Xenopus tropicalis: one gene and its partner. The protein of the gene in region 2 interacts with the protein of the main gene of each other region in a biochemical or structural test. Links are inferred from orthologs where the notes say so. Each region holds a gene or a part of one and is shown on either strand. Other genes may lie near its edges.

Evidence for each region.
Region 1: the proteins of daxx (region 2) and rassf1 form a complex in vitro, tested with the Homo sapiens proteins (4 studies listed by BioGRID and IntAct, with this or other methods). The link is inferred for Xenopus tropicalis from reciprocal best matches to the Homo sapiens genes DAXX and RASSF1.

What each region holds. Positions count from the first base shown.
Region 1 is NC_030680.2:127,237,835-127,242,262, reverse strand, and holds the start of rassf1 (ras association domain-containing protein 1), read left to right. Parts: upstream 1-1,579; 5' UTR 1,580-2,237; coding exon 2,238-2,559; intron 2,560-4,428. UniProt on the Homo sapiens protein: Potential tumor suppressor. Required for death receptor-dependent apoptosis. Mediates activation of STK3/MST2 and STK4/MST1 during Fas-induced apoptosis by preventing their dephosphorylation.
Region 2 is NC_030684.2:72,189,661-72,192,493, forward strand, and holds the end of daxx (death domain-associated protein 6), read right to left. Parts: coding exon 2,136-2,833; intron 1,407-2,135; coding exon 1,295-1,406; intron 1,062-1,294; coding exon 1,008-1,061; 3' UTR 634-1,007; downstream 1-633. UniProt on the Homo sapiens protein: Transcription corepressor known to repress transcriptional potential of several sumoylated transcription factors. Down-regulates basal and activated transcription.

The DNA.
Region 1 (4,428 bases), on a different chromosome or scaffold from region 2:
ACACAGCACTTGCTGGGAATTTCCATTGACTTTAGATTCTAGCATTTTATCCTCCTCCCACATATGGAGAAAATGCTGTGGCGACAAAATGCTAGAAATCTCCCAGTCTGCGAATACCCTTAGGTAATACAATGAACACACTTGGATATGTCTGGATGCAATCATCCACTGAAGGATCTAAAAGTATAATTTATAACTAAATGAAAGGCCTTCTGCACATTTTTTGGGGTAAAGAATGGCATGTTTACTAAATGCTGGTTTCAATGACATGCCAGGGAGTGCAGTAAGTACCAGTCATAATGTGACTGGGATTCTATACTGGAACGTGGCACTGAGGATGTTAATTGAAGCTTTTCTGGGTGAAATATTCCCCTCACTACCATCACACTATCCAGGTCGGACTAGGCTGGGAGGACACCAGGAAAAAATCCAGTGGGTGCCTCCAAGCCTCAATACCCCCCATTGCCACAGCCCTCCGATGCGGAACAAAGTATAATGTATGTGCATGGGGGAGGGCTGGTGGTGGGTGAGTGGGCTGTGGGGACTCCTGAGGTGGTGTGGAGGCCACTTGTGTAGCACAACCCCAGTCTACCACTAACAACATCTGAATGGAACAATGGTGGTTTGCAGCCCTAGTGTATCTACAGCAGCGGAGATAACACACAGTGTGACCCTGGCCTAGAGCTCACCAAAGAATAAGGCTAGATATGCTACACATTATGTTTTGGGCTTCTGTACTAGTCCAAGGCCTCCACAGTTCCATAGAAGTCAGAACAACTGAAAACAACTGATCACATTTTGGGTGACAGGGGACTTTATAGTGGTGGAAAGTTGTTCCTCCTGTTTTACTTAACAGCTTCTAGACAAGGGATCCCCAAGATTTTTTTACTCATGAGCAACATTTCAATGAAAAAAAAACTGGGGAGCAACACAAGCACAAAAACTTTCCTAGTAGGTGACCAGTAAGTATTCAGATTAGGTAATTAGTAGCCCAATGTGGGCTGGCAGACTACTAGAGACTGTTTAGCAGTACACATGGTCTTTATGCCTCCAAAACTTGCCTCCAAGTCAGAAATCCAAAAATGGGCACTAACTTTAAGGCCACTGGGAGCAACATCAAAGGGGTTGTTTGCTTGTGAGCCACTTGTTGAGGATCACTGTTCTAGACTATAGTATTATTTCTCAACAGGGTATCAAGCTAAGAAAGAATGGTAAGGCAAAGATTGGCTCATTGGTCACCTTCTAGTTGGCCGGCTGTTAATGGCAGGTCATGCCTGGCTGTGATATACAAGCCTGCATTGTCTTGTGTATATGCATAGTGAGTAAAGCTCTTAGTATTATGTATGCCCCACCATTGGAATGTACAGTATATAGCATCTGCAGAGTAGCTTTCCCAGCACAGTTGCCTCTGGGCTGACTCCCACCCTCTGTACTCTGTGTGCAGGAGTCGGACACTGCCCAGCCCTCATTCTCCTCTCTCCCTTGCTTGTGGCTGGATTCTCCCTGCTGAGATGCCCCTCTGATTTCTGACGATTACCACTGCGTCCCTTGGCTGCACTTCCTCTCCTCTCTCTTCTAATAATTTTTTTTTACATTTTTTTAGTCTTTTTTTTTTTTACTTCTGACGTGTAAATCTTGGCAGCTTCTCTTCCAGAGATCTGGATTTCTTTGTCTTGGTTCTGCAGGAAACTTGGGGGACATTTCCAGAGGTTTAACGCTATTTAATGCTTCCGGAAATATTTGAATTTCATGAAATTACTGTTGTGAATTAGCTTCATGCCAGGAGGAGGCTGCCCTGCATTGCTTTGTGCATTCTTTGCAGTACACTGGCATCCTGGGAGCTGCAAGCACAGTCACCAAGGGGCAGTGGATATGGGTCAGTGGCTCCTCTCTGAATTCCTGCTGTCACTTTCCCTTGTGTCAGCAGTGGGACCCTCCTCCAGAAAGATCTAGCACCATCCTTAGCACCATGGCACAAGCACTGGGATGCACTGAGATGCAATGAGGACACCCCATACAAGTGATGAAGTTACACTCTTTGTAAATTTCCTGTTGCTGCTTTTTTTTTCTCCTGCAGTCTTAAGTCATGAACAGAACAGAGTGCTACAGAAATACAAAGAGCAGAAGACACGGGGAGGGCGGAAGCCTGAGACTTTAACATAAAAGCACAGTTGTCTAATGCCAGAGAAAGGAAAGGAGAAGTTATTTGACTCCCCTGCTGACTAGAATCCTGTGAGATGTGGGAAAATGGGGCCAGCTATGAGATAATCGAGCTGAAGGATCTGAAGCCGAGGGATGGCATCGATCTGACGCAAAGCTCCCGTGGGGGGCACCGCCTGGAGCGTACCAATGCTGTCAGGATCCCTCCAAGCAGGACACCCCCTATTCTGCAGAGGAGCCTGAGAAGGAGAATACTTGGTGGGCAAGGTGACATACTGCCACCTGGGAAAGCAGGAGAGGGACATTATTTCCAGCCCACATCTAACACTCAGCACACTTGGTGTGACCTCTGCGGGGACTTCATATGGGGCATCTACAGGAAAAGCCTTCGCTGTGTGTGTGAGTACCAGTGGGTAAAACAAATATTAACCCTTAGTTACCATATCCTATCTCTATTCTGTCATAGCCCCAAGTTACAGGAACCAGTGATGATTTGGACATGTTATCATTTGCCTAGATGGAAATGATTTCTGAGGACACATTGGTGTCAGGCTGCTGCTCCACATGTGTCTTCCTGTGCCGGTACCTTCCCTGTGTGTTACACTTAAGGTGACCATACAAGTTTAGATTCCAGTCTTCTTCAACTAATGTTTGCTTGTCAATTATATGTTTAAATACAACGATCTGAAACTAACATTCAGACTGAAATTGTAGTATAAAGCCCTAAATATAACAAATCTGAGGATGTTCTGTACATGAAATAGTTGGCAGACACCAACCGTACAAAAGTTATGTCCCAGAAATACATTGTGGGTCCCCCAAGGATATTGTCAGATACACAATACATGCACAGATTTTAGCGTTATCGGAATGAAATTTTCTAACCTGTCTGATCTACCAATCACCATGGTACAACAATTATCGGGATGATAATTTGGAGCCCACACAGTCCGAAAATCATATAATATATAAGTTGTGCACGATTATACTGCTGCGTGTATAGCCAGCTTTACAGTGTGTTCTGCTGTGTGGTACCACATTCAGTGAGTAGTGGAAGTGATCCATACAGCTCGGAATAGGAAGCTGAGGAAGGATAGGAAGGAGGCAATTGCTAAACGAAGAGAGCAGGTACTGCTTTGGGTGAATTGGACCAGTTACAGTAGGCAGTGGAATGCCCTGCATGGCAACCACAGCACCATACACCAGCCATTCAGCCTTAATGAATATGTTTTAAAAACCAATATTCATTAACTGGAAGAATTCAGTATCCAACCAATCCAATATAAAGATTATGAATTTAGTGCATCTTAAAAAAATTCCTGTCAGAAGAGAGACTGTCCATGGAAATTAGGCAGGGAATAGTTAATATCTATACGTTCTGACCTTTGGGGGGGGGAAAAAAAGGGTTAGAGTGTGAGCAGCAGATTTGCTCTGTTTCACCATTTTATAATATTCCCCAATATCTCAAGCTGCTAAAAGAACAACAGGTCTAAGATGTCAAATCCCAACACTGAGTGGCCCCTGTGGCCCCATTTTCATCAGAGCAGGATACTTGATTGATTTTACCTTTAAAAAATGAAAGAGTTAAGCCTCAGCCATGGGAATATCCTGGCTTTATTCAGAAAGAATCTATTATTTAGCAGTCTATAAGGTTGAAATGCAGATTTAGACACTTCAGATGTGGTTGAGCTAAAGGTGTGCCTCAGCTACATCCGGATACCAGTTGCCCGTACCTGGTCCATAATGTGCTTTAATTATTAGAGCAAAGTGAAATAATTCAACATATGTTAAAGCTGTATGAATCTCATTGGCTGGGTGTTAAAAGGGAGTCTATAAATAGAGGTTTCTACAACAGAGAATTGCCAAACAACCAATGAGAATGCAGACATTTATCATCTGAACTCAGGTTTTAATAAGGACATCTAACCATCTGTGCCAATTGCCATTGTATGAGAGTCAGGCAGAGGTTTTTGTTTGGATCATAAGGTACAACACAGAAGTATAGTGTGAGAACACGGAAGGTTTCATTGTGTATGGACTAAAAATTGCACCAATAGAAAGTCGTTTTCATTGGTAGTAGACAGGTGCCCAAGACAGAGGAGACAAGATGACTATGGCTTCTTAGTTTCAGTGGCACCTATAGTCAGGGCTAGCAGGAAAGAGAATACAAAGGGACAGACACTGCTTTCGGAAGCAATTCCATTTACCAATAACTTTAAAATCACTGATATTTTTAATCCATGTGTATAGGAAATTTGCTTGGAATTA
Region 2 (2,833 bases):
CATCTAAAATCAAATGCTCTGTAAGGCTACAAATGTATTGTTATTGCAAGTTTTTATTAATTATCTTTCTATTCAGGCAATCGCCTATTCATATTCCTGTAGCTTATTCAAATCAGTGCATGGTTGCTAGGGTAACCCTAACAACCAGAATGGAAAAACTGCAAACTGGAGAGCTGCTAAATAAAAAGCTTAATAATTCAAAAACCGCAAACAATAACAAATTAAAACCAATTGCAAATTGTCTCAGAATATCACACTACATCAGGGATGGGCAGACTTTTTTCCTCCGATCGACTGACGACGTGGGAAGTGCGGCGTGAATTCGTACGTATGTGATGCAGGCCACCAGAAATCCTCGGGGATCGACTGGTGGACCGCGATCAATGTATTCGCCACCCCTGCTCTACATCATACTAAAAGTTAATTTAAAGGCAAACAACCCGTTTAAGTGCCTTGCAGACTTCCTGCATTTACCCTGTTCCAAGGATTGAGTTTGACACATTTCTCATTTGTTTTACATAACATTAAAATATTCTGTTGCTCTTTAATTTCCTTGTTTGCTTTACCACCTTTGTTTTCATATTACCAGTGACACTTTCAGAACTGTGTAAGAAGAAAAACATGACTCAGTAGTAATAAAACACAAATTTATTAAAGTTTTCTTTCTTTTTTTTTTACAAATCCAAAAAAAAGGTTTGTTTGCAGGAGATATCCAAAATAATCCCTGGGATATACCCAAATCTGAAGAGGCACATAGCCCTTCAAGAACTAACCCTCTATATGAGTTCCATAGCCCATATATAAAACTTCCCAGAAGCCTCCAAACAATTCAGTGCCATTGGTCCGCTTATCAAGCCAAGATAATTCATCCAGGTGTTATCCTTACTATACTATACATGAATAAAAAAAAATCAATGCTTGTCAACACCTGTAGAAGATAGTCCATATATAGCCGCAGAAGAAACCTTAGTCAATGTTGCTCATAAATTAATTGTTCCAATGTAAGTTCAGTCTGAAAGCACAATCACTTCATCAGGGTCACACTGTGTTGAGGCATGAGACTGAAAGCAAAGAAAAGTTGTCAGACAAAGTCAGAGGAAGACACGAGGTTTAGAGAATAAAAAAAAAAATAAAAAGAACCAGAGTTTGAATACCAAACTAGGAGGTGAATTCAATTAGGAAAGAAAAATATGAAAAAAAATAAAAGTTGGATGAAGGAGTAAAAGACAAATATTTAACAGATATTAAATATTATGTTGCCTACCCCTTTATAAAATGTTGTTTTTCTACTTACCTTGAGACCCTGATTTGATGCAGGACAGGGAGATTCTGGAGGGCTGCAGCTCACAATCAGGTCTAAAGAAATTTCAGGTGAAAATTGACTGTTGCTGTCTGAATCAGAGGTGCTAGGAAGAGAAAGGTAAGAAATTAAATATTTTGCTGACATTAACTTGGTTTACAGAATCCTATATTTGCATTAAAAAGAATTATCTTCTTGCTTTTCTTCCCTCCAAAGCTTTTTTGTTCACTTTTCAATTCCGATTTGATCCAGAACCAAAAAATTGAAAAAGTAAACAATCTGAGACAGTTATTTCTATGTGGTTTTAGCTCCCAGAAATCATTTAAAGCCGGCCATACACGCACCAATAATATCGTACGAAACCTCATTTCTTATGATATTCGGTGCGCGTATGGCTGCTCGAAGAGGCGACTGATATTGCAAAAGGCTGCGGATATCGGTGAACTCGTCGATCGGCCAGGTTAAAAGATTGAGCAAAATCTACGTTCAGGGCTGAATCGCAGGTGGAGGTAGGATTTCTATTGTTACTACCTCCATATCAGACGATTCAGCCCTGAACGTCAGTGGAAGGTGGGAACGACCTTTCGTGCAACCAATGGTCACACAAAAGATTGAAATTGCTACGTGTATGGCCACCTTAGGAGTTTGTTCTATTGTATAAAACACCATGTGGGTCACTTCTAAACACTGGGCAACTTTGCATCTGGGCAGTAATGCAGGGCAACCAATCAAACGTTTTAGCACAGCACATTCCAACCATGTGGTCATCTGCATCTGAAAAAGACTTACCTTACTTCCTCAGTGAGGTTATTGCTAAACTGTTTAATTTCCTTACCAATTTTTTCTTGGACGCTTAATTTTTATTCCTTCCCCTTTGTCATCTGTGCCATTGAATAATCCATCCCCATTTTTCGGTGAGGTCTGTGTCAGGCTCTTCTTTCTTTTCATGCTTTTGACATGACCCTCTTTACTTTTTACATTCATCACGGAGTCACTGCAGGACCCAATTACACTGACTGTTCTACTTTGTAGACATTTTGCAGTCTCCTGTATTTTCATGGATACACCATTTTTGTTACTTAAATGTGACACATCAGAAACTTTAGAGAAATCAGCCTCATCACTGATATCACCATGTAATGGCTCCATGTTGGTTTGTGCTTCAGCAGCTATACAGCTTTTAGGAAGTGGCATTTTAATGATACATATTCCATCATCCTCTTTCTCTGCTCTCTTGCTTTCAAGCTCATGAGGTTCAACTGGATTATTGCTATTGCCTTTTTCACATGGTTTGTTTGACTTTATGTTCCCAATACATGTTCCCAAACCTGCTGCACACTGCAAAACTTCTTCTGTTTGTGTGGCACTTACTTCAGTGTTTTTTGTAAGTAACTGATAATGTTTATCTTGAGTAGCACTTTTCAACCTGATTTTGATTTCTGGAACAAAGTTATCCTGCATATTCCCAGTTAAGTTAGACAAGTCTGACTGCAAAGGACAGTCCATAGGTGACCTATTTGTAGACATGTCAGT